7 linked regions of the Oryctolagus cuniculus genome follow. The protein of the gene in region 7 interacts with the protein of the main gene of each other region in a pairwise test. Links are inferred from orthologs where the notes say so. Each region holds a gene or a part of one and is shown on either strand. Other genes may lie near its edges. The genes, in order: MIS18A, CCDC88A, CCSER2, CCSER1, DIXDC1, TRAF3IP3 and NDEL1.

What was found.
Region 1: the proteins of NDEL1 (region 7) and MIS18A interact in binary tests that used the Homo sapiens proteins (3 or more experiments, as listed by UniProt). The link is inferred for Oryctolagus cuniculus from reciprocal best matches to the Homo sapiens genes NDEL1 and MIS18A.
Region 2: the proteins of NDEL1 (region 7) and CCDC88A interact in a two-hybrid assay, tested with the Homo sapiens proteins (2 studies listed by BioGRID and IntAct). The link is inferred for Oryctolagus cuniculus from reciprocal best matches to the Homo sapiens genes NDEL1 and CCDC88A.
Region 3: the proteins of NDEL1 (region 7) and CCSER2 interact in binary tests that used the Homo sapiens proteins (3 or more experiments, as listed by UniProt). The link is inferred for Oryctolagus cuniculus from reciprocal best matches to the Homo sapiens genes NDEL1 and CCSER2.
Region 4: the proteins of NDEL1 (region 7) and CCSER1 interact in binary tests that used the Homo sapiens proteins (3 or more experiments, as listed by UniProt). The link is inferred for Oryctolagus cuniculus from reciprocal best matches to the Homo sapiens genes NDEL1 and CCSER1.
Region 5: the proteins of NDEL1 (region 7) and DIXDC1 interact in binary tests that used the Homo sapiens proteins (3 or more experiments, as listed by UniProt). The link is inferred for Oryctolagus cuniculus from reciprocal best matches to the Homo sapiens genes NDEL1 and DIXDC1.
Region 6: the proteins of NDEL1 (region 7) and TRAF3IP3 interact in binary tests that used the Homo sapiens proteins (3 or more experiments, as listed by UniProt). The two-hybrid records come from large-scale screens. The link is inferred for Oryctolagus cuniculus from reciprocal best matches to the Homo sapiens genes NDEL1 and TRAF3IP3.

The regions. Positions count from the first base shown.
Region 1 is NC_091435.1:12,608,811-12,613,091, reverse strand, and holds part of MIS18A (protein Mis18-alpha), read right to left. Parts: intron 2,949-4,281; coding exon 2,826-2,948; intron 1-2,825. UniProt on the Homo sapiens protein: Required for recruitment of CENPA to centromeres and normal chromosome segregation during mitosis.
Region 2 is NC_091433.1:147,168,520-147,173,399, reverse strand, and holds the start of CCDC88A (girdin), read right to left. Parts: upstream 3,054-4,880; 5' UTR 2,179-3,053; coding exon 2,116-2,178; intron 2,020-2,115; coding exon 1,919-2,019; intron 1-1,918. UniProt on the Homo sapiens protein: Bifunctional modulator of guanine nucleotide-binding proteins (G proteins). Acts as a non-receptor guanine nucleotide exchange factor which binds to and activates guanine nucleotide-binding protein G(i) alpha subunits.
Region 3 is NC_091446.1:74,796,841-74,799,858, forward strand, and holds part of CCSER2 (serine-rich coiled-coil domain-containing protein 2), read left to right. Parts: coding exon 1-694; 3' UTR 695-3,018. UniProt on the Homo sapiens protein: Microtubule-binding protein which might play a role in microtubule bundling.
Region 4 is NC_091439.1:75,222,632-75,226,912, reverse strand, and holds part of CCSER1 (serine-rich coiled-coil domain-containing protein 1), read left to right. Parts: coding exon 1-719; intron 720-4,281.
Region 5 is NC_091432.1:103,912,782-103,917,529, forward strand, and holds the start of DIXDC1 (dixin), read left to right. Parts: upstream 1-1,515; 5' UTR 1,516-1,639; coding exon 1,640-1,756; intron 1,757-1,948; coding exon 1,949-2,078; intron 2,079-4,748. UniProt on the Homo sapiens protein: Positive effector of the Wnt signaling pathway; activates WNT3A signaling via DVL2. Regulates JNK activation by AXIN1 and DVL2.
Region 6 is NC_091444.1:24,604,490-24,609,387, reverse strand, and holds the start of TRAF3IP3 (TRAF3-interacting JNK-activating modulator), read right to left. Parts: upstream 2,996-4,898; 5' UTR 2,738-2,995; intron 1-2,737. UniProt on the Homo sapiens protein: Adapter protein that plays essential roles in both innate and adaptive immunity. Plays a crucial role in the regulation of thymocyte development.
Region 7 is NC_091448.1:52,896,955-52,901,235, reverse strand, and holds part of NDEL1 (nuclear distribution protein nudE-like 1), read right to left. Parts: intron 2,578-4,281; coding exon 2,441-2,577; intron 1-2,440. UniProt on the Homo sapiens protein: Required for organization of the cellular microtubule array and microtubule anchoring at the centrosome. May regulate microtubule organization at least in part by targeting the microtubule severing protein KATNA1 to the centrosome.

The sequences.
Region 1 (4,281 bases), on a different chromosome or scaffold from region 7:
ATTCTTGTGAAGAGGGACCACGCAGGAAGCTCTACTACGTACCTCATGCCTTCCTCCACAGCGGCTTTGTCTGCACAGCTCTACATCCCAATTCTCCAGCATTACAAGTATCTCATTACTGGCACAAACCTGCTCTAGGCAAACTGGGTGGCAAAGCATCATCACTCATAGCTCAGCCACCTAAGGACCCGGAAGAAGCCTCCCCTGTCTTGCTTTATCTAACGTCAGAAACATGTGCCACTTCCAATTTGACCTTTTTTCCAATTTTTTACTTAAGAGGGGCAGGGGAGAGAGCAAGAGCACGACCTCCCGTCTGTTGTCTCACTCCCCAGTGCCCGCAATGGCCAGAGCTGGAAACTCGATCCAGTTCTCTCACGTGGGTGGCATGGACCCAACTACTTGGGCCAACTATGTGCTGCCTCCCAGGGTGTGCGTTAGCCAGAAGCTGGAATCAGGAGCTCAGAATTAAACCCAGGGACTTTGGGGCCGGCGCTGTGGCACAGCGGTGAAAGCCCTGGCCAGCAGTGCCGGCATCCCATATGGGCACCAGTTCGAGTCCTGGCTGCTCTACTTCCAATCCAGCTCTTTGCTATGGCCTGGGAATGCAGTAGAAGATGGCCCAAGTCCCTGCACCCACATGGGAGACCCTGAGGAGGCTCCTGGATCCTGATCAGCTCAGCTCCACTGTGGTCATTTGGGGAGGAAACCAGTAGATGGAAGACCTCTCTCTCTCTCTGGCTCTGGCTCTACCTCTCTCTCTCTCTCTCTCTGACTTTCAAATAAATAAAATAAATCTTAAAGTAAAATATAATAATAAAATAAAATAAACCCAGGGACTTCAATGTGGAACACAGCTGCCTTAACCAGTAGGATAAACACCTGCTCCTAAATGAGACTTTAAGTAATAAATTGTGGTGGTCAATACTTGATTAACCAAATGTCAGCAACTGTAACAGTTATTCTCCAACTTACACTGTGTTTGCCTCTCATTGTTACAAGATGCGATGGTTTAGGAAAGTAGGAAGTAGCAGAAGAATCAGCTGGCAATGGAGGGAAACCAGCTCTGGGCTGGCAACCAGCTACATCTAAACAGTAAGGACGGAGATGCCAGCATCTCTCAAAGAAAACTCGAGGGGCCAGGGCTGTGGCGCCAGCTCCCGGCATCCCACAGCGGAGTGCTGGCGGGAGTCCCCGCAGCTCTGTCTCTGCTCCAGCTTTCTGCCAATATGCCTGGCAAGGCAGAGGAAAATAGCGTGGTAGGCAAACTGCAGAAGGCAACCGACATCCTACTTAGAAAACCAAAGATGCGGTGGGAAAATGACATGGCACCGAGCAACTGATAAAACTGTAAATAAATGGCACAGAGGGCAGCCCTGGCATTACAATTCCACCCCAAGGGGCCAGTGCTGTGGCATAACCGGTTAAGCTACCACCTACAAATCCAGCATCCCACTTGGGTGCTGGTGCTAGTCCCTAACGTTCCACTTGCGATCCAGCTCTCTCTAATGCACCTGGAAAAGCAGCAGAAGATGGCCAAGTCCTTAGGCTCCTGCATCCATGTGGGAGACCCAGATGGGGCTCCTGGCTCCTGGCTTTGGCCTTGTCCTGCCCTGGCCCTTGCAGCCATTCGGGCAGAGAACCAGCAGATGGAATATCTCTCTCTCCTCACTCTCTCCCTCTGTAGCTTTGCTTCTCTCTGTGGCTTTGCCTTTCAAATAAATAAATCTAAAAAATACACACACACACAAACTTATTTTTTTAAAAAAAATTCTGCCCAAGAAGTAGCCTGTCTCCTAAAATCAACTGTTCAGGAAAAACAGCCTTGACAACCATGATCTCCTGCAGTAAAACCTCCCACGTATTTTCTTCTGTAACACAATATCGCTTTTTAGAAAAATTACTCTCATTTTATTTGAAAGGCAGAGAAAGACAGGAACCTTCCATCCACTGTTCACTCCCCAAATGCCTGCAACACACAGGGCTGGCCCAGGCCGAAGCCAGGAGCTTGGAAGTCAGTCTGTGTCTCCCACATGGGTAATAGGGACCCACCCAAGTACCTGAGCCAGCATCTACTGCCTCCCGGGTTTACATCAGCAAGAAGCTGCATCAGAATTAAAGCAGGCCCTGTCCTATGGGTTGGGGACATCCCAAGCAGCAACTTAACCACTGAGACATAGCCCCAGAAAATACTTAAAAAGAATCCTTCTCAAGTTCATTCCATTTTTAAAAACAAATGAACACAGGCCAGCGCCGCGGCTCACTAGGCTAATCCTCCGCCTTGCAGCGCCGGCACAAAACCGGGTTCTAGTCCCGGTCGGGGCGCCGGATTCTGTCCCGGTTGCTCCTCTTCCAGGCCAGCTCTCTGCTGTGGCCAGGGAGTGCAGTGGAGGATGGCCCAAGTACTTGGGCCCTGCACCCCATGGGAGACCAGGAGAAGCACCTGGCTCCTGCCATCGGATCAGCGCGGTGCGCCGGCCGCGGCGGCCATTGGAGGGTGAACCAACGGCAAAGGAAGACCTTTCTCTCTGTCTCTCTCTCACTGTCCACTCTGTCAAAAAACAAACAAACAAAAAAGAACATATTTTTACTCCAAAAAAAAGCCACAATTTAGGAGTGCTGATTTTTCCAATATCAAAAAATTAGAGCAAAGCAAAGAGAAAAACAGAGAGACAGAGAGAGAAATTAACTGGCTTTAATGTCAGAAAGTACTACCTGGAAATGTCGTTTAAGCGTGGTTTAGCTCTGACGTCTTCATAGCAATTTCTCTGCAAACTTAACTTTCTGAGAGGTCAGTTACCCAGCGGTCACTTAAATATCAAACTTACCTTTCAATGGCTTCAACACTGAGGCAAAACAAGTCCCTCTTGTAATCAAGGCTCTTGGGGGTGCATCTGTATATGTAGCCGAGGTTGAGGGAGCAGCCGACGCAGTACAGGGTCTCGAGGACGCTGCGTAAAGACATAGCACCGCTTTAGGAAGCAAAGCAGCAACTTGCTACAGAACACCCACTGCTGGCACCCACAAACGCTTCAACACTCAGGTTTCCAGGGTTTGTCATTCTGACCATGTTTAGTTACATGTATTCATATAAGGAAGGAAAAAGATGAGAGTAAGACATTTATAATAGAAATGCAAGGACAGCCACACTGCCATCCACATCTGACGGCAGGAACATGCACACGGCAACAAGAGGAGGAGACCATCAAGTGCATGTGTTACGGCGCAAACTCTGCGGCCAGGGCTGTGCCCCAGCAGGTTAAGCTGTCGCTTGAGATGTCAGCATCCCATATGAGGCAGGTTCAAGTCCCAGCTGCTCCACTTCCAATCCAGCTCCCTGCTAACATGCTTGTGAAAGTGGCAGAAAATGGTCCAAATGCTTGGGCTCCTGCTACTCACATGGGAGACCCGGATGGAGTTCCAGGTCCTGGCTTCAGCCTGAATTAGCCGTGGCTGCTGTGGCCATTGGGGAGTGAACCAGCGTATGGAAGCTCTCTCTCCCTCTTTCCGTAATGCTATCTTTCAATAAATAAATCTTAAGAAAAATAAAGAATGTAAACTCTTTGATTATAAAGAAAATTGGGAAATAAGACAAAAAGATTCTATGCGTCCTTTTAATGCCATTGTCCAAGGAGCCCAACAACGGCAGGGAGAGGCAACTCCTGTGTAATGACGCAGAGAATAACTAATCCTTACTACTGGCCTCTGCCGTCACGGCACGAAAACAGCTTACAGACACTGCAGAACTCAATCACCTGGGTTCACAGAGAGGCATCCAGCCCAGGGCCTCTGCCTGCCCCCGCATTGGCAGAAAGCTAACACAGCCCAGTTTAGAAAAAGCCTCTAAAGTTAAATGACAGCCTGAAGAAAGCCCACCAATGCACCGTAAGTGAGTTTAGTCTGGCAGGGACACAAACCATCCCTGTGAGTAGCAAAGCAAGCCCCAAAGGCTGAGGGGCCATAACTCGATCTGCCGACCCTGAACCAGCTTCCAGCTCCCTCGTTAAGGGGTTTTTAAAAAGTCTCGGATGTGTGCCTGTGATCTGTGTGTTAGAGCTGCCTGTTAAAGGATCTACTCACCACCAGCACTCTCCCAGCAACCCCAGGCACGCCCCACACAGGTCACTCACACGTACTTCATGACCCGCCGCCTCTCCACTTACTTGTTCCTTCATCCTGGACTCTCCTCAGCCTGGCTTGCAACATCTGAATATACTCCCTTCCTGTCAACCTGTCTTCCTTAATCTGCCTCAGAATCACCGTTTCCAAAAAGCCTTGCTGACT
Region 2 (4,880 bases), on a different chromosome or scaffold from region 7:
GTTATTTTAGCAGATTTTTCTTGAAAAAAAGCAAAAGCATACTTCTCTTTTTCTTAATTTTCTTTTTCTTTAATTTATACGGGTCATTCAAACAGAATTAGGACGCTGAAAACACTTTTAAAGAAACTGAGAGGTGGAACTGAAAACACAGTGGCAGATTTGAGGTTTGGAAAGGAGCTAGTCCTCCCAAAAAAACAACTCCCTGGCAACCACTATTTTGGAACACCATCATTTTCAAAACATACCTATACACAATGGAAATAAGCCAACATGTTTGTTTTTAGCACCTTGGCTAGCTACTTAAGACTTAAAAAGCCCCAAATCTTTCTCTTTTTTTGGAAAAAGTATTATTTTAAAAATCCACTAAAGTAGAAAACTAATTTTACTATTTTTGTAAAGATACTTTTTAAGGGGAGGGGTTATGCACACAAATTCAAAATTTTCTGAAACAGACAGACATAGGGGAAAAGGTGACTCTCTACCATAATGGCTACTCTTCCTGTCATGTGTGTTTCCTAAAATAGAAGTTAGTTTAATTTTTCTACCATTTCGCTTAGGAAATAGTGGGATATTTCAAAAATAAAAAATAATTTCATGGGATAGCTGCCAAAAATACATTTATTAACCCTATAAATAATTAATGTCTACACTCTTCCTTTCTTAAGGAAAAAAATACAAATTTTGATAACATATACATTTCTTCAGGCACCTAAACAAATATAACATTTTTGGAAAGTGTATGGTAGTAGTATGTCTCCCTGTGGGATCAACATATAAATCTCTGAGCATACAAACTCTAACTGGAACAATTATTTGTGAAATTAACATCTAACCTCTTTTAAACAGAAAACTAACTTGAAAAATAACTTCCAGTAAAATACAGAATAGCTAATTTATATGTAAAGTTCTCAAAGCAGAATAGACTTGTTCTCTACTTGTTAGCAACTATGGATTTATAAGGCACTAATTTCCCACATATATAAAAGATGAGAACATCTTTCAATCACAGGTTCCAAACTACTCCTATAATCAGATTCTATTCAAGAATAAGGCTAATTACTTACAGCACAACTGTAATGATATTCACAGTGTGATAACCTACACTGAAGGACCTAGAATGCATGTATGCTATAGTACCTCTAATAATAAAAATGCAGCTGTTTTTACTGCCCTAATCCAGCTACCAATATACTTTCAATATCCAATTTCCATTGCAGAAACAAACAAAAACATTTAATATAGATCTAATATTATAAATATAAAAGACAAAGAAGTGACTACTAAATCACTGGTTGTCTAGTCCTCATCAAGCCTTCAATGATGTACATTTCAAAACTAAGAACACCTTAAAATGATCTTTCAAATATGACACAAAGTCCACACAATAAATCATCTAATCAGACCTGAATTATTATAGACATTTAAGTTACATGCTGCAGCAGCAGTCCTCTTCACCACTCAGAACTGTGTATGAAATTCTAAGATGTTATTACTTCACTAGCTTCAAAAACTGAGTATAAAAATAACTATTTTTAGATATGCATCAAATGCACATAGCTTCACATTAAAGTCCTTTCCCCCCTATTAGGACACTAGATTTGCATTCTTGCCCTCTCTCTCTTCTTACCAGATTATCAAAGAGGACACCGTGTGGTTTGGTTTTCAGCACTGAAGACAATAAGTGACAACACAAGGTTGGCAAAACGAAAAATGCAAAGTTTCACAATTTTAACAGGCATAATTGCTGGCTTGCGATAAATGGGTTGGGCACGGAAGATTTTCACTCCTTTCAACATCCAATTTTTTGAACCACCTGCATTTTTCTAACCCAAGAACCACATTAGGGGCGAAAACATCAAGTCTCAAGTTCACAGTACGTTATTTCTCAAAGAAAACAAGTTACCCAGAAAAGACTTACATTTGGAGCATGACCTGGTTCAGGAATACCCCATCCACCAAAGCCACATATTCATCCAGGTTGGTCCCACTGCCCGCAGCCAGAGGTCCGAACGTTTTAACCTAGAACAGAAGGATCGTCAGGGCATGAACGCCCACCTCCATCTCTGCAGCCACAAATAACCCAGCAAAATCTACAATAAAGGGCACTCCACTTACCCAAGTGACCAAGGGGCTGGTCATGAACTGCTCCAAAAGGGGAGTAAAAATTTCGTTCTCCATTTTACAGATCCTCTACTTAAAAAAAAAAAAAAAAAAAAAAAAAAAAAAAAAAAAAAAAAAAAAGGAACTACCACAAAAATACGCCTAGGGAATTGGTCACGAAACGTTGAAGTAGAAATCAATGAAAGTCCATTTTGGCAAGCGAGGAAAACCCCATCGAGGAGGGGGGGAAACGCTCCCTCCTCCAAAGACACCCCAGAGGGAAACGAGCCGAAATCCCGAGAAGCGGCTTCGACAGCCCCCACGAGCAGCAGCCTGCGCTGGAAATGTCGGTACCGGGCAAGGAGGGGCAGAGAAAAGGCATCTGGAGGAGGAGGAAGGGGAAAGAGGGCTGCAGCAGCAAGACAAAAAGCCCGTCAAGGTTGCCCGGCTCCTAGAGCAGCCAAGCGAGCGGAACTGCCCCCAATGAATTAATCCCAACGTGGGCTTTATCAAACACCACGTTAGACACCACCTTAGGGGATCCAAGGGGCCGCCAGGCTCGACCTCCGCGTTTCCCCTCTACACGTTCCACCCACCGGTGGGCATGGAGCCGCTTCGACCCGCGAAGCCTCCCCGGTCTGCAGCCCCTCACCACCGACAGGCAGGGCTCGCCCCTTCCCCCCGAGCAGACACCATTCCTCCGCCGCCCTCACGCCTCGCCTCCAGCCCCCTTCCCCTCCCGGGGGATGGGGGCTTGAATGTGCGTCTCTAAACCTCCGGCTGCCTGAGCCCCGCCAGCCTCTTCGGAGCGCCTCTGGGAAGCCCTGGCACAAAATCACCGCCGAGCTCCAACCTCCTCCTCCGCCCTCTCTGGAGGAGCCGGAGTAACGGCCTCAGAACCGCAGTGCCGCGTCACACCCCACTACTCGCTGCCCAACCAGCGCAGCGAGGCCGCCGTCAAGGGGACGCGCCGCTCCCTCCGCGCCGATATCCTTCCGCCGACTCCCCGCCCCTCCCGCGCCGCTGCCTCTGGATTGTGGGAGAAGAAAACCGCTGCATGAGCGCGCTCCCGGGCGAGCGCGTTCCCGGGTTGGCCCCGCCGCCGCCCAGATTCTGAGACGGGCGCGGGCGCGGGGCCGCGCTCGCTGCAGCTGCTGCGGTGGCCGGCGCCTTGCTAGCGCCCAGGATGGTTGCCAGGGGCGGGGGGCGGGGATGGCGAAGGCAAAGGAAAGGGTCTGTCTGCTCGCTCACTCGTGCCTAATTATGGTTTATTTCCTCCCCGAGTGCCTTCTTTGATGTGTGAAGGAAGGGGAACGAAATTCTTCTCTTTTAAACATGAGGGATGCAGACAGCCTTTTTCGGACAGTTTGGTTTGATCTCTTCAGCATGCTTGCTCCCCAACAGAATGGAATGGGAAAACTGACTTCAGCGAAGGGCAAAGGGACGCGAGCCACAAGTTAGTTCTTTTTTTCTTCTCCTTTTCCTTTTTTTTTTTTTTTTTTAACATCCAGCCCTCTAAAGCATGGAATGCAAGTGAAATGTGGTAGGATTTTTAAACAACCAAATCTATCTTTCAGCATGTTGCTATTCCCTGACAAGAGCAAACGTGATTTAGACATTTTTGTGTGTGTGTGTGTGTGTGACGATTTGGCCATTGAAAAAAATCCAAACAAATCAAGAGCTATAAAGAGGAAACATTTGGAAGTCATCCAACTTGGGCGACAAATAAACAGATTACATATTTACTATAAATCTCTATGCTATGCACGGCTGGAACCATCAAAATAATTTTAACAGTTCCCTAGCAAAATCAAATGTTACTCCTCATTTCAAAGAGAAATGAAGATCTTTTTCTTGAGATTAAAATGGGCATGTAAAACACATTTTTTGAGAAAGCATAGCGTTATAGTTTGACAATGTATGCTATGTTTGCACTTACATAAACATCTACTTTGAATACTTGCATACTATTTTAAATTAGCAGTGAGAATGTTTTTGTCATAGCACTGAATTAAGAAACAGCACAGTTTGTTAATTAGGTAGTTGAGAGCCTGGGCTTGGAGTTCTCCTGCATGGTTCCAATGCTCACTAGCTCTGTGAGACTAGGCAAGTTACTAAGCTGCTCTGTGCTTCACTTTCTTTATATGTAAAGCAGTTCAATGAAATGGCAGCTTATAGAAATATTTTATAAGTGTTGTTGATGTTGTCTTCATCATTATTCCCCCTAAAATTAAGAATCTTTGGGAGGAAACTTCAAATGAAAGCTCTCCTACTTCAGTTACATGAGAAAGGATCTTGCTTTTGGGAAACAGAAACACATGTCCTTATCAAATGATCTTAATTACAATTAGGATGTTTTCATGTGACTTTTTTTAGGTGGTAACAGAGTAGAACTTCGCACGGCCCTGGCCAATACACAAGGCTGGTGTCATCCTGGTGGCTCACAATGTTTTCCTTTTGTTCTTGATGACTCTCTCTTAATCACAGTTCTTTCTATGGTGAGTGGAATGCAACAAGAAGGAAGCATTGCTTTTAGTACCCAGTGTCTGACATGTCCACTTTTCTTTGTAATCCTCCAGAAGCTTGACAAAACGACATGGAAGTTTCCATGCCTATGCAGGAGTTTTTCCCAAGACAGAGCCACCTACCTCATTCACAGATGAAAACCCAGAAAGTACTAACAGAAAGTGCAGATGGTGATGGTGACTGAAGGGTTAGCACAGGAGTTGGATATTAAGACAGCATTGTTTATCCAATATACATTTAGTACCCAGCCATAG
Region 3 (3,018 bases), on a different chromosome or scaffold from region 7:
CATCGCACCTCTGGATGAAAGCTTTACGCACAGCTTACGGCAAGAAAGCAACTGCGGTTTGGAAGACCGGCCTTTTCCGTCAAGCCCACAGTTCATGATGGATGTGGCTAAGAGGACACCTTCTGAAGCAAACTTGAATGTGACCGTGAATGCTCAAGAGCCTTATCATTTGGCAAAGAATCAACCTAGTGACATGCAGTTTGTAGCTACTTCTCTTCAGACAGCTCCTCAATCAAGTACAGTAGACCAGGCTGAGAGAGTTGGACAAGATCAGTCTCCACCAGTGGGCTACCCTTCTCAGCCCAAGTCTTTGCAGCTTTTAAAGCCATCCATTCTGAATTCTTTGGCACCTCCTCCAGATTCGGAATCATCTGCAAATCGGACTCCTCCCACTTGTAAGAAGTCACTGATAATCGCACCATGTCATTCAGCAAAACTTCAGCCAACATCTAGTCCAACAAATCTTGCAAGTAATCTGAAAGTGTCTAAGCTCCGCCCCCCTTCTTGCTCTTTCAAACAGAAACAAGTAAGCACCCCCCGAATAGAGCCTCAAAATGTCCAGGCCAAGACCAGCATCCCAAGGCCACTCACACGACAAAAAGAAATCATGCAGAATCCGAATGGCAACTTGCATCCTGGGGATTGTTTGGCATCCAATCGTTATTCTCGTCTTCCTAAACCAAAGATACATTAAGTACATAGCCATCACCTGCCACTTTGTGTTTTGAAACACAGTCTTCTGTAATAGCTTTACGTACAGTTTACTACCACGGTGGAGGTTCCATTGAAAGCCTGCAAATCTTACAATTAAAATGTGGAAGTTTCTACTAGTTGGGCTCTTCCACTTTATAGCCTGGGCTGAAGTCTGTACCAATTGAGCATCTTGTCTCAGGTAAACACAAGTTTGCTTACCCATCCCAGAGGTCCACCAAAGGCTGTCACCATGTATCCACTTGCTGTACATCAGAAAACTCACAATAGCCACTTAGCAGATGAGTCCTGTTAAGTCCGTATTCCTTGTGGTTGTCCAAACCTCACCCCTTCCCACTTGTCTCTCCTGTGAACATGGCTACTATTGGAACTAAAGACGTGGTGATCATGGATGATGGTCGTCTGTAAGCAGAGTTCTGGCCAGTGTTTTGTATATTTTAAAGGTCTATGCAAAAGCTTTGTGATGAATAAAGGAGATCAGGCTTTTAATGGGAAGTCTATGTAAGTCTTATTTTTCCCTACTAGGATCATCAAACTAGTTTACTGTTTCTTCATTTACCTAAATCCCCAGACTGAAAATGTCTCGTATTATTTATAAACCAATCATGTGTTGCTTTGATATCATGTTTTTCTCACACACAGGAATTCTTCGCCACAGCCCCTTTGTGTGTGTTCACATTGCTACTGTAGGGTAAATTTTGGAGAGTGAGCTACGTCTTGAAATTGTAACATATGTTAGTGCAGGAGTTTCAGTGTTGAACTCCATAAGCTTATGGATTCATATAGCTTTTTAAAGGTTCCACAGCATGTATCATGAATTAAGTCTTTATTATAATATTTATATTTATTGACTTTCTGCCAATATCTGAAGACTGGAATAATGGACTTGAAATATTTGCACAAAACTTGGATGGGGTGTAAATATCCCATACATAGGGATTTAAAACTTATTTTCTATAGCAAAACAAGTGAAAATATTTTAAGAAAAATTATAAATTTAAAAATTATGCATTTGAGAAAGCTAGAATTCATAATGGTTTAGTTCTTCTGGGTTTCCTAGGTTTCCCATTTTGGTTGGTGTACGTTTGAATGAGAATTTCTTGAAGAGTAGATTTGGGAAGGAGAACAGAATTTGAGATAGGAATTGTATTTTATTCAAAGGTATTTCAAAGGCACTATGCTTATTTATTCCATTGTGCCGCAGAAGGCAGCTGTGGGACCTCCAGGCAACCATGTGCACGAACTTAACCATCCTGCAGGCCGCTTGTCAGACAGTGCAGTGAACGTGTCTTCCTGTCCTTCACATCACGCCACATTTAGGCTGTACCTCTGCAGCTGCTTCAATCAGCATGAATAGTTTTTAGACAGATCACCGTACATGACCAATTTTTTTGCTCAGTGGACCAAAAATGTACTGGAAAGAATGAAGCCAAGAAAGTGACTCATTCAAATTTCTAGGGATTCCTTTACGATGTGTGTCTTTAAGATGGTGGACTTGGCTGTCCCTTTGTGAGAGAGGAACAGCAGCAAGTGCTTGAGTGGGAATTTCAAAGGAAGTGTGTGCTGCCATTGGACGCAGTCTTCCCTTACCTGTCAGAGCACCAGTCATCCAGCGACTGTGCTGTTCGGTAGATAGAAATCATTGTTAGATTTGGTAAAAAGTGCTCAGCGCCGCAGTAGGCTCTCCGCCTTGTGCAGCAGCGCTTCCACAGGAGAGGCCCTGCAGTGCAGCGGGTCCCTCACATAGTGCAGATGAGTCCTCCCTCGGACGTAGCAGCAAATACTTCCTTGTCCACAGAGGGGGCCACAATGGCTGCAGCTAAGAGTGGGCACGTGGGTGGTCTTCCATTTCAATGGAGAAAGAAAGCTGACCCCATATTGCATATAGGATACTATCATTCTTGATTTCCCCAAAGTAAAACAGTCTAATGAATTAGTAGATTTTTGGTTGATTTAGAAGTTGATACAGACTCTTAAGGAGTTTAAATTTCAAATTTGTTTTTAACTCCCTAGGCTGAGGGAAATGTCTTTATTGTCCATTACATAACCATCTGTTGACTCCAGTCATTGATTTATTCTGATGTCTTTCCTGCTCTTTTTTCCTCCCTGAAGAACTTACAGACATGTTAAGCCTGTCAGTTTAACTTCTCTGTACCTTTGTTGAGCCTTAATCTTAGCAGAAGATAGGCTCATCAATATAATTATGAAGCATAATGTATCTAAGAGAAAAATATCTAAATTGCTTGCACACAACATGAAGTATTGGCCTGCAGTTTCCTTTAAAAAACTGCGAGTATCCTGCTGATC
Region 4 (4,281 bases), on a different chromosome or scaffold from region 7:
TTTGGTTCAGCAGCCTGAATTCTCTTTGGAGATTACGGAGTTCCAAGAGAGAGAACCTGTGTTAGGAAGAGCGTCTCCATCTTGTTCTTTGGATGTCACAGAACAGGCAGGAAGCTCTTTACAGTCTCCTTTGCTTTCTGCTGATCTCACCACAGCTCAGACACCTTCAGAATTTTTGGCCTTGACTGAAGATTCCGTGTCTGAAGCGGACGTATTTCCTAAAAGTGGAAGCCTGGCATCCCACTGTGACAACTCTGACCACAATGAGTCTACCTCTCAGTTCTCTCCCAATCCCGCTGCTGTTACAAAGACAGCAGTAGAACTCACGGGAACAGTTCCCTGTGCGAGTTTGTCTCCTGGGAAATACAGGTTAGAGGGTCGGTGTGGCATTGAATCTCAGTCGTTACCTGAAACCTCTGCTGCTAGTCAGAAAGAAGTGTTATTGCAGGTCACTGAATTGCGCGGTAGGAATGTGAGCAACTCAGAGACTCGTCTACCCGCAGATACGCTTAGAGAGGACAATATGGTGTTACACAATGGGGAGGCAATGCTGGGCACAAGCTCCCCAAGGAAACGGGGCTTCTATGAGCAACATAAAGCAATAGCTGAACGTGTTAAAGGGATCCATCCTATTTCCGATTCAAAGATAATACCCTCCTCTGGTGATCATCATATTTTTAACAAAACGTCATATGGATATGAAGCAAATACTGCCAAAGGTATGCTGATTTTCTTTGTAAAATAAGTTTTATGAAATGATTTTCATTGTAATGTATTCTATTGTCATCCTCCATCTCATGAATAGCAAGCACACTTGCCTTGTTTTTCACCACCTAGATTCATTCGTATTTAGAATTTAGTTTAAACTTTTATGCAACTTGGTTTTGAACTTGCCTCAATTGTGTTATGCTGAAATTATAATTCAGTAACATTGTTTAGTTTGCTTGTTGTGTTACTGGGACTCTGACTCTGAGAAGAAAGTAGAAGGAAACTACTTCTATTTGCAGTGTGGGTTTATCTAAAATAAGAACTACCATTTTTAGAGTTCATTATGAAAGTATCTGTATTTCTTAATGAAATGGATATATTGCAGCCAAAATCACCATAAAAATAATTTGTATAATTTAAGTTCTATTTCCTGTGTTAACAGTGGTTTCATTACTGACCAAGATCTGTGCATCAGCATAAACAGTTCCTTTCTATTGATACAAAGAATTTCAAGATTTAAAAATCCTGTCCTTTGGAGCCTAAAGGCCCTGCCTGCTTCTAGTAGCCCTGCCACTGAAATGAACTAGATGTATAGATGTATAATCCAGGACATCAAACCTTGTTGTGTAAAAAAAAAAAAAAAAAAAAAAAAAGTGTGTGCACCAATCATTCCAGTCTGGCTCAAGAAAATTCTGTTATTTAACATAAAATTCAGTTCAAGCAAACTTTTGAATGTATATTATCTCCTGGGCTTTATTAGATATTATTTTTAATTCTTTGATACCATTACTGCTAGCAATTGTTGTTATGTTACTGCTGCTATAACTACTACTACTACTACTAATGGTAATTATCCTAATACTGAAAATGATCACTGTATCCCAAATACTTTTCTTGTACTTTGCACACATTAATTTAAAAAATGACTGAAATTAGGACTGGTATTGTGGCATAGCAATGCCAGCATCCCATATGAGAGCTGATTTGAGACCTGGCTGCTCCACTTCAGATGCAGCTCCCTTTTAATGGCCTGAAAAAACAGTGGACGATGGCCCAAGTATTTGGGTACCTGAGAGACTTGGAAGAAACTCCAGGCCTTTGGCTTCAGCATAGCACAACACTGGCTGTTGTGGCCATTGAGGGAGTGAATCAGCAGATTGAAGATTCTCTCTCTCTCTTTCTCTATAACTCTGCCTTTTGAATAAATAAAAAATATTTTTTTTTAAAATGACTGAAGTTGGGGCCAGCACTGTGGCATAGCAGTGTTAAGCTGCTGCCTAGATTCGACTGCTCTACATTGGATCAAGCTCCCTGATTATGTGTCTGGGTTAGTAGTGAAGATGGCTCAAGTGCTGGGTCCCTGAATCCATGTGAGAGACCCAGAAGCTCCTGGCTTTGGCCAGTTTGGCTGTTATGGCCAGATGGGGAATGAACCAGCAGATTGAAGACCTCTTTTTCTTTAACTTTTCTTTAAAATAAAATAAACCTTTTTTTTTTTTTAAGAGTGAAATCACTACTATTATTATAAGCTATTTTGCAGGCAAGAAAATTGGAGCACAGATAAGTTACATGTTCTAAGTCACAAAGTGAATTAGTAATTGACTAGCATACTAATTCCATGAGGTAGGGTAGAATGTTTCCTTTATTCACAAGTGTGATCTAAGCCCACAGTTTCATCCAGCTGGCAAGTAGCATAGCTTAATTGTAACTATGGGAATCCAAAGCTCAGGTTCTTAACCATTATGCTGTATTATATATTCTTACCTTAACTAGTAAATAGAATTCAAAATAAGTTAAGTGGAAGAATATCAAGAATCATAGAATTATGTGATTTATATAAGTAGTCCATCTATGCTGATGGCCGTTTTCAAGTTTTAAATGCAAGAATTCATTTCCCAGATGTCTTAAAATATTTTGTGTATTGATACACAATCACTGTTATGCACCTTGTTACTTTTTTCTTTTTTTTTAACTTGATTGCCATGTCCATACTCTTGATTTGTTATATCTACAAATAACTAAAATATAATAATGAGAATGATAATGATGATGATGGTTGTGGTTACCTTTTTAAAGTGTACACTAAATGTAACTAATGTGCTAAGAAATTTGCATGCTCTATTTCATTTTAATCCTCACAAAATTTTTATGTGGTAGTTTATGACAGTTTATTATTAAGTTAAGTAACTTTAAAAGGTCATATTTTTAGCAAATGAAGGACCTCAGAGTGGACTTCTTTTTTATAGACACGACACACAGGAAAGGTAGAAATGCTGTTTTCCTGATAAATCTAATCTTATTTAACAATGGCAACTTTTCTCAATGTCTAATTGAATACTATGTATTTTTATCTCTATGGAAAGTAGGGAATTACCAATTATCCTGGTGAAAATTTATCTACTGTTGTGATTCTAACTGTAAGCCATTGAACACATTAAAGTAGTTTCACTGACTTGACAGTGCGTTGCCTGTTTTTGGTGATATCAACAAGGAAAAGATGATAGTATACTGTCCTTTGTTCTGTGGGAATATTTATGTGCTACTTTTGCAAATTTTACAGTTTGGAAGTTTAAAATTTTAAAACCAATTAAGTAATTGTATTTTATGCAAGAAAGAGTGGCTGTACACACTAATTTGTAATTCAAAATTTATTTTATATTATAAAGCATTGAAGCTAGTACTTAATGCATATCTGAATGTATTAGATACACACTAATATCACAATTAATAATAGAAATAACTTTCATTTTTTTGCTTAAAACACTGTTTTAAGACCTCTGCTATGTTTTGGAACAATAAATTTCAACCCAAAGCCTTTAAGCTGGTAGATGAACTTAAATAGAGCAGTTCAGTCATTTATTCTGTAAGTGTTTGTTGTTTTAGCACTGTTGTTAGCAGAAAGGATACAAAGCAGACATCATCCCTAACATCATGAAGCTTGCTTTCTACTGGTCACAGATACTCCGACAGTAAACATACAAATAAATACACGTGAGATGATGATAACTGATGAGGTCAAGTGTGAGGCAGAATGAAGTGTTAGGAAGAGAGAAGGGAAGGTGGCTGTTTGCATTTTTAAATTTGATGAGCTGGCTGCTACTCAAGGTAACATGTTAGCCATGAGTTGAAGGACCTCAGGGAGTAAGTGATACAGATGTTTCAAAGAAGTGTTTTGGTATAGGTGAGTCGAAGGCTGTGGGGCTGGAGCATGCCAGATATGCTCCAGGAACAGCACGAGATCCAGTGTGGCATTAGCAAGATACAGGAAGGGGAGGGCAGCAGAAGGTGGGGTTGCAATAGTGAACAGGTGAACAGGGCAGCCCTCGGAGCAGGGGTGAGAGCTGAATCACAAGAGGAGCTCATTTGAAAACATCAGATTTATGTCCTGAGGTGTGAACTTCATCCATCTCACCGTGCTGTAAGTATATTATTGTGGTTACCGGGCAGAAACTAGGTTTTGTGGTGGGGAAGGAGGTGGTGAGGTAGGTGGGAGTAGGCAGAGGTGAAAGAATCTTAGGAAGTATTGTGAGAACCCTGGCAAGCGAGGCTGGGTTTGACCCAGGCTCTTAGTTG
Region 5 (4,748 bases), on a different chromosome or scaffold from region 7:
GACTTTATCTTGAGGATAATTGGAGACCAGTGATGGATTTGTTGCAGGAATGTGTGGAGAGTAGGTTGAGGGTGATACTAGATACAGGAAAGTTGATTAGGAGTTTGACTTAAGCCACGTAATTAGATCCCAGCTGTTATATTTAGTGCCTTTTCTGGTTTTAACTCGTCTTCCTCAGACCAGAGTGGTTCACTCCAGAAGTGCCTATTGCCTCATTTGCCTCAGGTGGGGCTTTGGCTTGCAATAGTAGCAGACCTTGGAGTATTATTTTTCCCAGCTGCCCAGATCAGGCAGAAGGTATAGCCACTCTTGTTTACAGAGTGAAGTGAATAGCAAGAGGCCTTTGGTAAGTGCTCTGTTTACTGGATGTTAATACCAGGACTGCTATGTCCTAGCTATGCGGACATTGGGAAAAGTTATATAGCCTCTGTGAATCTCATCCATAAAATGAATCTTTGGTGCTTCTTGGATAATTGAATTAGATTATTGATGATGAAAACAATAATGACCATTTAGTAAACATTAATATTAATTACAACAAATTGGCACAGAGAGAAATTATTTATTATTGAAGATTTCATTTAAGTTCAGGAAGCAGTTAGTGAGTGGTTTTGACCATTGTTTCATTAAGGAAGTACTTGGGACTTAGAAATCATTTATACTATAACCAAATTATAATTTAATGCAATTAGCTCTTGAACTTGATTTTTATATTTAGACTCTTGAGCTACTACAGAAAACGGAGCTGTTGCCTGGACTGTGACATTGCTCATGTGCTTTTTTGATATTAATGCCCATCTGCTGGCCAAATACGCAAGAGGAAACTTTTGAGTACAAGTTGGAATACAAAATGGAATATGTAGGGGCTGACACTGTAGCATAGCAGGTTAAGGTTCCATCTGCATCACCAGCATTCCATTTGAGAGCTCTACTTCCAATCCAGCTCCTTAATGATGTGCCTGAGAAAGTAGCGGAAGATGGCCCAAGTCCTTAGGCCTCTGCCACCCACATGGGAGACCTGGAAGAAGCTCCTGGTTCCTGACTTTGTCCTGGCCTGGCCCTAGCTGTGGCAGCCATTTGGGGAGTGAACCATGGGATGGAAGATCTCTCTCTCTCTTTCTCTCTGTAACTCTGCCTTTCAAATAAATTTTTTTAAAAATCTAAAAAAAAAAAAAAAAAAAGAATATGTGAGATTGTCCGAGGCTTAGAAAGAATTACATGCCTTTTCCTAGATGCCTGACCAGTTTCTAATCATATGAGGGCCTAACTTTGTCTGAAAGTAAATAAAAGGTCTTGCCGTCTTCAGTAACACTGCTCAATAGAACTTTTCTTTGTCCTTCTCTGTTTAGGTTTTAAGTAACCAGATCCTCTTCGACAATATGAAACACAGATTAAAACTAACTCTAACAATCCTAGGATTATGGGCTCAGGAGAATAAATCTTGGGTTGACTGCGAGACGAGTTCATTTAAGTCTTATTTTGAAGAAAGCAGCTATGGAACAGGCAGCCCTGAGCTTGGCTTATTTTTCATTCTTGGCTCCCCAAGATCAATTCCTCACAATCCTTTGTGTATATGATACATGCGTGGTTGTTCTTGAGAACCACGGTGGGTCACTGGCAGCAGTAGTTAGAACTGGCCATGGCTTTTGACCCAGTCCTCATCCCTGGTCAACAACAGAATTTGAAGGAAGCAGGAATCACAGTGATTGAAACACTTACGTGTTTATCTATGTCTGCAGTGCCACCCAAGTCACAGGTTAGCATATCTTTGGAGATTAACTTCAAACTAGAGAATTCCAGAACATGCTGGGTATCTGACCATGACACCATCTTTCTCTCCTGGGTATAGACTGCCCACCATAGCTCACTCTCAAATGCTGCTTTAGAGAGTACAGGGGAGGGGCATTAATGTGCAACGCCTGCCTGATTGGCACCTTTTGTGTTCCAGCAACAGCTGCAGGCGTATGTGGCCTGGGTAAATGCCCAGCTGAGGAAGAGGCCCACAGTGAAGCCTGTGCAGGACCTGCGGCAGGATCTCCGGGATGGGGTGATCCTGGCATACCTCATCGAGATTGTTGGTGAGTTGGCTCTGGATGCTGAGGCTACAGCATGGCCTTCTTTACCCTTCGTGTGCCCCTCAAAGCCCCTCTAGAATGTTTGGCCATGGACAGAGTGAAGACTTAAAATACTTGGCCAGACACTGTGTGCCAGGCACTGCCTTATGCTCTGGGAGTTTGATGATGAGCAGTCTGTGCTCTCAGAAGTCTCCCCGTTTCGTTAGAAAGACTGGAAAGTGAAGTCACTTCCATTAATGGACTTAGGACTCCGGTGGGGCAAGCACAGAGGAAAACGCAGCCAGTCTTAAGGGCTCAGGGGTAACCTAGCAGAAGAATTGATGTCTCAACTGAGGCCTGCCAGAGAAGCTGATAGCTGAGCCAAGGCCAGAAAAGGAAGCAGCAGCCAGATAAAAGGGGGGTGTGTTCTCCGGAAAAGGCCCCAGTGCAATACTCGCTGTCATAATGCTGCAGAGAAAGGTTTGCCTCTGGAAGCCCTGGAGTTGTTGCCAGTTTGGTATCATCTATTAAGCATTTGCCCACAGCTCTGTTATTATTTCTGTCATGAAACAGTAATCATTTGTGGCAATCACTTGTTTACCTATCTGTCTCCTGTAGAAACTGAACAGGTATAGAATAATGTTCCTCTGTTTCTCCAACCCCTAAGCAAATGCACGTAATTGATTCTCAAACCTTTATTGTTATATCAAGCAGCTCACCTTGCTTAGAACCCTGAGAGACATGGAGCCTGCACGTGGGGTGGAAGACACCTGATTGCAGCAGGCATCCTATCCACGAACACTTCCTTGGGACAGCTCATGAACTCATCAGAGGATTCATTTTAATGAAAATAACGGGACTCATAGTCACAGTAGCTGCCAGGATTTGGAATTCTGTCTTGCTTAATTTCATTTCATTTAATCATCACCCCCTTGGGAAACAGATACTATTATTCCCCCTTTCAGAAACAAGCTTACAAGAGAAGATTTATAAAAATAAATACATTCAGGGGCCAGCGCTGTGGTGTAGCGGGTAAAGCCACCGGCTGCTGTGCCGGCATCCCATATGGGTGCTGGTTGGAGTCCCGCCTGCTCCACTTCCAATCCATCTCCCTGCTAATGCACCTGGGAAAGCAGTGGAAGATGACCCAAGTCCTTGGGCCCTTCCACCCATTTGGCAGATCTGGAAGAAGCTCCTGGATCCTGGCTTCGGATCAGCCCAGCTCCAGCCGTTGCAGCCATTTGGGGAATAAACCGGCAGATGGAAGATCTCTCTTTCTCTCTCTGCCCTTGCCTCTCTGTAACCTTGTCTTTCAAGCAAATAAATAGATCTTTAAAAAAATACATTCATAGAGTACTTAATATGTGTCAAAGTAGCTGAGCAAGGTACTTTGAATTATTTGTGATATGGCTGTGAGGAGTTGAGAACCCCCCTCTGAAATGCTTTGGCCCAGAAGTGTTAACAGATTTTGGATTTTTTGGATTTTAGAATATTTGCATAGACTAAATCTGAAATGCTCCAAAATCTGAATTATTTTGAGCATATCATGTCGTTGCTCAGAATGTTTAAGGTTTGGAGCATTTCAGAGTTTGGATTTTGAGATTAAGGATGCTTAGCCTATACGACTACTCTTTTGCTCATTTTATGTAGTTTAGAGAGGCTAAGCACCTTTACAAGGTCACCTTACTATAAGTGCCTAAGTAAAGGTACCAGCTTAGATTTGCTTTAATTCCAAAGCCCATTTTAAAATTTAGGTTTTCATTGATTTGAATAGGCTGTTCATAAATTATTAGGAAATCCAGATAGTACAAAAGAATATAGAATCAAAAGCCTTTTTTCTACCTATATCTCCCTCCTAGCTGCCCATTCTTCTTTTTGGTGACAGCAGTGTTAGCAGTTTGTTACATTTCTTTCCAGAGATAATCTGTGCATACAGAGGCAATATGAATATGTCATTTTTTGTTGGTTTGTTTGCTTTTTCTTTTTCTTTTTTAAAAATATTTTATTTATTTATTTGAGAGGTAAAGTTCAGACAGTGAGAGGGAGAGACAGAGAGAAAGGTCTTCCTGACATTGGTTCACTCCCCAACTGGCCGCAACGGCTGGAGCTGCGCCAATCCAAAGCCAGGAGCCAGGAGCTTCTTCCTGGGCTCCCACGTGGGTGCAGGAGCCCAAGGACTTGGGCCATCTTCTACTGCTTTCCCAGGCCATAGCTGAGAGCTGGATTGGAAGAGGAGCAGCTGGGGATAGAACTGGTGCCTATATGGGATGTTGGCGCCACAGGCGGAGGATTAACCTACTGTGCCACAGCGCTAGCCCCATGAATATATCATCTTATTTTCCCAAAACCCAGCTTCTCAAATACTGCTTTCCATTGTTTTTGCTGTATAGAAAAGCCTCCCAAGATTGTGTCTGTACTCGTGAAATTTATTTCCTTATTTTGTATTCGTTCTGTAACCCTCCCTCATTAGGCTTTTGATCCCACAACTCCACTGGGACTGCTTCCCTTGGGATCCTGACTTGCACCTTGTCAAATCCAGGGGCCAGCCCTCAGTCCTTGTTTTGCCTGACTTAGCAGGGCCTGGTAGAGTAGATCATTACCACCTCTTTCAAAGACTCTTCGCTTGGCTTCCAGGATGCTCTAGATCTCTGGCTTTCCTCCCTCCTCACTGGCTGCCCTCCTCACTTGCTTTGC
Region 6 (4,898 bases), on a different chromosome or scaffold from region 7:
CTCCCGGTGAGGGTTAACTCTGCTTCCAAGTCTGCTTTCCTTAGTCCAGACATGGACTGTGCCATCCAAACCAGCACACACATGAATCACACCTCAAAGAGTCTGTCCTGTAAACAAACAGAATCAGGAACCCAAAGTCCCCAGGGAACCAGGTTTATGGTGTAGAGGCTGTACTTGACACCTTGCATGTTGTCTTCCCTGCCATTTCCAATGCACCTGAACCCAATCCCTTCTTCTTTCCTGGCCTCTTTTGTTCTTTCCTGCTCTCCGCACCTACCTGCTGTGAATTCGCTTATTCTCCTAGGATGCTCTGGGAGCTTTGCTGAGTGGGGTTGCACTTGAGCTGGATCCTGAGTTTTGGAAATCCTGCGCCGAGCCTCTGACCACTGGGGTCAGACCTGGGACTGATGAAGGAAGAGGGACTCCCCCTCACAGCTGCTGTCTCCTTTCTCCAGCTCATGACCTCATTACCACCCCACCCCCACCCCGGGAACTTCAGTTCCTGGGTAGGTCAGAGAGGTGGTATCTTAGCTCCACCAACCAGCAGGCATTAGCCAGCTCTGGCCATATGGGTTTGCTTATAGGCCAAGCAGACTGCACAGGTAGCAGCCTCCCTGCCCTTTTATTGGGATTCTGCTGCCTATCCTTGCTTAGTCTAGAATTCTCTGAAGGATTCTTGCTCTTTCTGATTCACCACTCATTTCTTAGGGTCACAGGCAGGGCAGTCTCACTCTCTGAGAGGGGTCTTAATGTGGGCAAGCCTGGACACTCCTTGATGCCTTACTCCTAAGGGTTGGAGCAGTGCCCTCTGGCCTCAGGCAGCACTGACCCCATGGAGCCATATGAAGACATCAGTCCTCTCTGTACCATTTCTGAATGGCTTTATCCTTTCCTCACACTTTTCATTCTTAGTCCTTGGGGCCAGGAGTGGTGGTGGTGGTGGGGAGGGGTTGTCCCTGGACCACCTGCTGCTTTCCTCATCTGAAAACAGAAAAGGGCCTCAAGTCCCAGCCATGTAAACTTTTAAGTGACTGGATAGAGGAGACTTGGGGGTCTGTGCATGGGAACTCTGGGTCCAGAACCCACACATGTAGGCTTGCTCTGCCCTACAAGGTGGAGGAGAGCCCTGGCCTGGAGTCAGACTGTGGACTTAAGTCCTGACCGTGTCACCATTACCTGTGTGTGATTTTGGGTCAGCTGTCCAATCTTTCTGCATCCCAGTCTCCTTGTTTATAAAATGGGGCTTGTAGGGTTCTGAGATTAAATGACAAAGTGCACAGTAGGCCCCTGGCACTTGGCACATAATAAATGTTACCTTTTTTTATTAATACACATTCAATATTGTTAGGACTATCCTTGTCTTGCTGTGTTGGATACTGGAGACCAAGGCCCCCGGCTAAATGAGCACTCCCAGGACCAATAATGACAGATCCCATCCTCTGATTCCCCCAGCCTTTTCTCTCTGGAGGAGTACATTGTTTACCAGGTTGAGGAGGTGCTGGCCCCAGACTGAAATAATTTTCACTGCTATGGTCCATCTGACCTCTGGGTTTGGGCAACGATGAGAAAAGACGTCTCTGTGGTCCTGACACAACAACTATCTCAGTTAGGCCAAGCAGAAAGGACAGGAAGAGATGGAGGGGAAGAGTGGCTGCCCAGCAGCAGACCATGGAGTGTGGGATGTGAGGTCGCCTTCCTGTTTGCCCCTAGTTACACAGGCTTTGTAGGGAGGCAGAGCCCTGGCTGCAGAGAATCCTGCTACCCTCCTGCTGTGGAGGGGGCTGGGGGTAGCAGCCAGAGAGATGAGATCTCTCTGGGCTCTCCACCTGGGCCATCTACATCAGTCCGCTGGACCACTGAGAGAAAGCAGCTCTGCTCCCTGGCATCCTCACAGGTGGATGTTAGGATTTATGGCCCAAGAGCAGAGTTGCAGTAGAGGTGGCTCCTTAGAAAGGGGGGCATTCCCAGATCCCAGGCCTACACACCCAGTAGGATTTGGTGTGGCACAGCTGAGTGGAACCATACCAAGCTTTCTTGGGGGTGGTTTGACACACTGAGTTGCTTAAAAATAAGAAACCCTGTGGGATGGCTCATTGACATAAATAGGCAATAGAAAAAAAAAAGGAACTGTCTTTGTAAGGTTCAAAGAGTGGTCAGGGGGCATCTCTGGGGTACCCCTTGGCAACACAATAGGGCTCAGTTGGAGCTTGGGGGAAGAGGTAGTGTTGGCTGGGGGAGGCCTTCCTCACTCCCTAACACAGGAAAGGACCAGGGCACTGTCCCTCACCCAACAGTAGCCTTGTCACTGCCTTTACGAGTCGCTGCTGTGACAGCTTGGCTGTGTGTGCGAAGCGATGGTGAGTGACTTCCTGTATGGGCCTGGCCTTCCTGGTCCAGAGCTCTCAGTGCCAGCTGGAAAGGCTGCTGTGTGTTTCCCACCTTGAAAGGTCATCTCATTCATGCCCCCATCAGTGAGTAGCCCGAGAACTCCCAGGCATTTGACTCATCCAATTAAGAGGATGGAGCACAGGGGTGATGGGAGTTGTATCTCTGTTCTGTGGCTAGTGCCTCAGGAAACCAGCTCAGGACACTTTCTTGGTTACTCAACCCCCCGACACCCTTGACCTACATCACCCACTCCTGGGCCTCCCTCTTCATCCAGGGAGGCTTGGGTGACGGAGCATCTTCTGCACCACCCCAGCGTCAGTGGTCCCAAAGCATCCTCATCCTCAGTTACCTCCGAGTTCCAGGCTCCAACCCAAGTGCTCAGGAAAGCATTCCAGCTTCTGGGGACACCTCGGCTGTGGTCTCAGATGGAGCAGAATAGCAGCTGGGTAAGGGGCAGGCTCTCAGTCCCCGGCTCTGCGCCCCATTAGCATTTCCCTTCTTGCTACTCTCTTTCTCTTTGCACAGCAGCCTTGATGAAACAGGAAACAGACAAACCCACAATGCTCACAAACCCCAGTTCCTCTCTCTTGCTTTCTGGCGCGATCTGAGTGGGCCCCTGAACCCTGGGGCCTCCGGGGCTGAGCTTGGGAGCTCCTCCCATCAGTGGGCACCCCAGGCGCCCTTTGTCTTGCTATTGGATTGGCCTGAACTCTTCTTGACAGTTTCAAGACAAGATCCATTTCCAGGATTAGACAAGGATGGGCCTGTGATTGGATTCAAACCGTGCAGTTCCTGTGAGGGCAAAAAAAAAAAAAAATCCGTTTTTGGTAGTGCGACCTAGAAGAGCTGTTCTCAGTGTGGGCTGTCCTGGGCATCGGGTAGTTCTCCACAAGTCCCGGAGCTCTGGAGAGTTTCAGGAGAAAACGGGGTCTGCTTCAGAACTCTAGGCTGAGGTCAGCCCTGGCTTCAGTCATTCCCGAAGCAGCAAGGAGGAGGTGAGAAGGTGGGTGGCTGGGAGATGAAGCGAGGAACAGCAGGCAGAATCTTGTAGAAAATATTTTTTTTGGTCTCAGTCACTTGGACTAGGAAAATTGGGGGAAAAACTAAAGGGAACTAATCTGCCTGCATTATAAAGAAACCCTCATAGGCAGTCTAGTCGGGAAATTACCAAGAAGTTCGGGATAAAATAGTGGAGAGAGACCTGGATTGGGACAGTGGCCTGAGCAGCTCTGTAACCCTGTGTAGTTCACCTGATTGGAATGAGCTGCTCAGGATGGTGGCTGCAGGAATCCTGTGGCCCCTGTGAGTTCCAGGGGGTGACACGAGTGAGGTGGGCGAGGAGATGTGGAATAGCTGCGACTGGATGATTTTTATTAACACGCGGGGAGTGCATCACGGTCTTCTTTGCTGCTGTGGCTGCCTGTTTTCTGAGCAGAAAAAGGACAAGGAGTAGGCTGGGCAAGGCATTCCAACTGAAGACAAAGGATGTTCCCTCAAGACGGGAAACAATAGTTCTAGGCCGTGTCTAGAGCTGGACATGTGGAGCCAGAAATGAGCAGAGGACAGAGCAGGGTGGGGGGCCCAAGATGGCAGAATAAGAGAACTTCATTTAAAAAATTGACCAAGTTGATCAAAAGGGAAACCTCAGTACATTATATAATTAAATTTAAAAATTCATTTGATTCTTGTTTATTAGAGAGATCCCTTTGGCAGGGTGACTCCACAGATACCCACAACATCAGACTGATGCCAGGAGCCAGGAAATCAATCCAGGTCTCCACAGGAATGGCAGGGACTCAACCACTTGAGCCATCACCTGCTGCCTCCCAGGGTGCACATTTACAGGAAGGTGGAATCAGGAATGGAGCTGGAACTTGAACTCAGGGTATGGGATGCCATATATTTTTTTCATTTTATTTCATTTATTTGAAAGAGTGAGAGAGGGGTGAGAGAGAGAGAGAGACTGACCTTTTAATACACTGGTTAACTTCACTGATGGCTGCAATGGCCAGGGTTGAGACAGGCCAAAGCCAGGAGCCTGGAACTCCATTTGGGTGTCCTATGTGGAGAGCAAGGTCCCCAGTACTTGAGCCATGATCTGCTGCTTTCCCAGGCACATTAGCAGGGAGCTGGATTGGAAGCAGAGAATCTGGGACTCCAACCCTCCAACCGGTACTTACATGGAGTGGGCCTTGCAGGCGGTGGCTTAACCCCTGACTCCACAATGCTGTTACGGGTGCTGGTTCCTTTTTTTTTAAGATTTATTTATTTACTTGAAAGGCAGAGATAAAGAGAGACAGACAGAAGGAGAGAGAGAGAGAGAGGGTGAGATCTTCTGTCTGCTGGTTCACTCCCCAAATGGCCACAATGACTGGGGCTAGACCAGGCCAAAGCCAAGATCCAGGAGCTTCATCTGGGTCTCCCACATGGGTGCAGGGGCCCAAACACTTGGGCCATCTTCTGCTACTTTCCCAGGCTCATTAGAAGGGAGCTGGATCAGAACTAGAGCA
Region 7 (4,281 bases):
GTTACCTACACCCACAAGCAAGAAGAAATAGGGCAGAGTTCAAAGGAGAATTCATTGTGAACCAATAAGACAGATCTCTCATCCATGAGTTCACTACTCCCCAAGTGCCCTGTGCCAGGTCAAAGCCAAGAACTTAAAATTCAATCCAGGTCTCCACTGTAGGGGGCAAGAACCCAACTTCTAAAGCCATAACCTAATGCTTAATAGGGTATGCATTAACAGGAAGCTGGAATTAGAAGCAGAGCCAGGACTTGAACCCAGGCACTCTAGTGTGGGAAGTCTGCATCCCAAGCACTGTCATAATGCCAAATGCCAGCCCCCAAAAAATAAATACTTCATCAACTCATTTGCTTTCACTTTAAAATATTGTAGTTTGGAGATTACTGTGAAATCAATGAAATGCATTTCTATAATTTTATATGAGTTGGTATTTTTTATTATCACTATGAAACATTTTGTTTTAAAAAAGTAGTAGTTAAGGGCCAGCGCTTTGGCATGGTAGGCTAAGCCTCTGCCTGTAGCACATCCCATATGGGCGCCAGTTTGTGTCCTGGCTGCTCCTCTTCTGATCCAGCTCTCTGCTATGGCCTGGGAAAGCAGTGGAAGATGGCCTACCTGCTTAGGCCCCTGCACCCACATGGGAGACCCATAAGAAGCTCTTGGCTCCTGGCTTTGGATTGGTCCAGCTCTGGCCATTGAGGCCATCTGGAGAGTGAACCAGTCTTTCCCTCTAACTCTGCCTCTCAAATAAATAAATAAAAATCTTTATTTAAATAAAGTAATAATATCACTTTAAAATTAATTTCCTTGCTTTCAAATATTGAATTTTCAACCCAAAATTAAATTTTCCAGTTAGGCAACTAATGTATAGAATATTTCCTTGTATCAGAAAAGGATACAGATTATCCAACTTCCAAGGTCCAAATGAATTCAAAACAGGATCTCAAGAAGACACTTGCAAACTTGTGTTCATAGCAGCATAATTCACATAAGCCAAGAAATGCACCTACACCAAATATTCATTCATAGATGAATGCATAAAGAAAATGGATACAGGGGCCAATGCTGTGGTACAGCAGGTTAAGTCACCGCCTACAACGTCAGCATCTCATATGGACGCTGGTTTGAATCCCAGATGCCAAACCTCTAACCCAGCTCCCTGTTAATGCACCTGGGAAAGCAGCAGAGGATGGCCCAAGTCCTTGGTCCCCTGTACCCACGTGGGAGACCTGGATGAAGCTCCTAGCTCCTGGCTTTGGCCTGGCCTAGCCCCAGCAGATGCAGCCATTTGGGGAGTGAACCAGTAGATGGAAGATCTCTTTGTGTCTCTGTGTAACTCTGCCTCTCAAATAAAAAAATCTTAAAAAAAAAGAAAAAGAAAAAGAAGTGTCTAAAGTAGTGGAACTCAGAGAAACAGAAAGCAGAACTGTGGCTGCCAGCAGCTGGGGGGAGGAAGAAATAGGAAGCTGTTCTTCAGTGAGTATAGAGCAAGGTGCAAGAGTTCTGGAGGTCTGTTCCACAACAACGTGACATCTAACACCACTGCACTGTACACTTAAAAATGGTTAAGATGGTAAATTTAACATTATGTGGCTTCTTTTTTTTTAACCACAGTAATAAAATACAGAATGGTTTACACACTATGTAAATTATGAGAGACTCTTCAAGTGAATACACCAATCCCTCAGGGAAAAAGAAAAAGTCATGAAAAAAACAATCATTAAAGAGTCAGTAGGGTCTGGCGTTGTGGCACATCAGATTAAGCCACTGCCATATGGGTGCCAGTTCAAGTCCCAGCAGCTCCACTTCTGATCCAGCTCTCTGCTAATGCATCTGGGAAAGCAGCAGAAGATGGCCCAAGTAACTGGGCTCCTGCCACTCACATGGTAGATCTGGACAGAGTTTCAGGCTCCTGGCTTCAGCCTAATCCAGCAGCCCCAGGCGTTGCGGCCCTTTTAAGAATGAACTAGTAGATGGAAGACCTCTCTCTCCAACTCTGCCTTTCAAATAAATAAATAAACCTTTAAAAAAGAAAGGAAGTCAGTTCTTAAGCTTACCCTGGCTAGTGTCAGATTAAAAAAAGAATACTGTTAATATTTATTCTATTTATTTGAAAGGCAGAGTTAGAGACAGAAGGAGAGATAAAGAGATCATCTATCTGCTGGTTCACGCCCCAAATGGTCACACCAGCCAGGGCTGGACCAGGCCAAAGTCATAAACAAGGAGCTTCTTCCAGGTCTCCCACGTGGGTACAGGGGCCCAAGGACTTGGGCCATCTTCTGCTGCCTTCCCAGGCACATTAGCAGGGAGCTGGATCGGAAGTGGAACAAGTGGGACACGAACTGGCGCCCATGTAAGATGCCAGCACTGCAGGTAGCAGCTTAACCCACTACGCCACAGTGCCAGCCCCGACAAATATTCTTTAAACTATAAAATTTACCTCTTGCTTCATCCTTTAACCGCTGTACAGAGACCAACAAAGATTCCTTTTCATCAAGTTCACTTTCTAAAAATGCATTCCGTTCTATGGCCTGATTTAGCCTTTGTTCAAAGTCTTCCAGTGAAACTATTGTTGCCCTGGAAAAAAAAATTAACAGTCCATAAAGTAAGTAAATAAATAACATGTGCAAACAGCTAACACAAAAGGAAACTGTCAGTTTATCTCATGACATTCTTCACCTAGTCTGTTCCACCAAGTTCAAAGAGAATGAGCTGGTCTTTCTCCCAACCTTCTGTGGATTCAGGGTCTCTATTTCCATTCGGGCCATTCAGTAAATTCCTTAAAATTCCTTAAAGAAAGGCCAACTGTTACACTATTTATATTTTCACTGGATTTTAAACATGATACAGTCTCATTTATGAATTTTGAGGAAGAAAACTTTTTCTTTAAAGATTTACTAAGTTATTTGAGGCAGAGTTACAGAGGGAGAGAGACAGGAAAGTGTCTTCCATCTGCTGGTTCTCTCCCCCAAATGGCCACAACGGCCAGAGCTGGGCAAATCCAAAGCCAGGAGCTTCTTCTGGGTCTCCCACCTGGGTGCAGGAGCCCAAGCACTTGGGTCATCTTCCACTGCTTTCCCAGGCCATAGCAGAGAGCTGAATCAGAAGTAGAGCAGCCAGGATTCAAACCAGCACCCATATGGGATGTCAGTGCTGCAGGCAGAGGCTTACCTTACTATGCCACAGCACTGGCCCCAGAAGAAAACTTCTGAATATAAAGAAGCATGTAAGAATTTGTTTTGTTTTGTTTTTGTTTTGTTTGTTTGTTTTTTTGACAGACAGAGTGGATAGTGAGAGAGAGAGGCAGAGAGAAAGGTCTTCCTTTTGCCGTTGGTTCACCCTCCAATGGCCACTACGGCTGGCGCGCTGCAGCCAGCGCACTGCGCTGATCCAAAGGCAGAAGCCAGGTACTTCTCCTGGTCTCCCATGGGGTGCAGGGCCCAAGAACTTGGGCCATCCTCCACTGCACTCCTGGGCCACAGCAGAGAGCTGGCCAGGAAGAGGGGCAACCGGGAAAGAATCCGGTGCCCCGCCCGGGACTAGAACCCGGTGTGCCGGTGCCGCAAGGCGGAGGATTAGCCTAGTGAGCCGCGGCGCCGGCTAAGAATTTGTTTCTAACATTGTAAGTCCCAGGTTCCACTTCACTTACTTCCTGTCAGCTCTTTTTCCATCTTGCATTTCTCATTCATTCAACACCTACTCTGCAATTCCTGTCAATTGCCAAAATGTCTCTGGAATCTATTTCCTCCTCAACCTTCTCTCTGCCTTACTTCTTCTCCCTAAATGGATTACTCCCAAATGTTCTGCACTTCTCCGTGCTTCCAACGCCTCAGTATTACCTTCTTGAATCATAACTCTGATATTACTCCTTTGCTCAAAAAAATTTTAAAGAGTTTCCCTTTGCCTACAGAGTGACTTTCAAACACAGACCAAAGACTCTTCACAACCTGACCCCAACCATCCTCTGGTCAGTCACTGTCTGGTACGTGGCAAGCAAAATGAAACATCAATACCTCAAGCTCTTTCCTGCTTCTCTGCCTTTCACCTGCCTCTTCACCTGATTAACTCCTGTTCCTCCTTGCAGACATAGCTCTAGTATCTGCAAAGGCTTCTCCAGCTCACCCAGAGGCACTGGCCGCTCCCCTCTCTGTGCCCTGCATTTGTCATGCTGAACATCCATGTGCACCACCCTCAAGGGCAGTGACTAGCTTAGCATTAGATCCTCCACCCTGGCCTATCAGTCACTTCAGAGTCAATAAATGGGGCCGGCGCTGTGGTGTA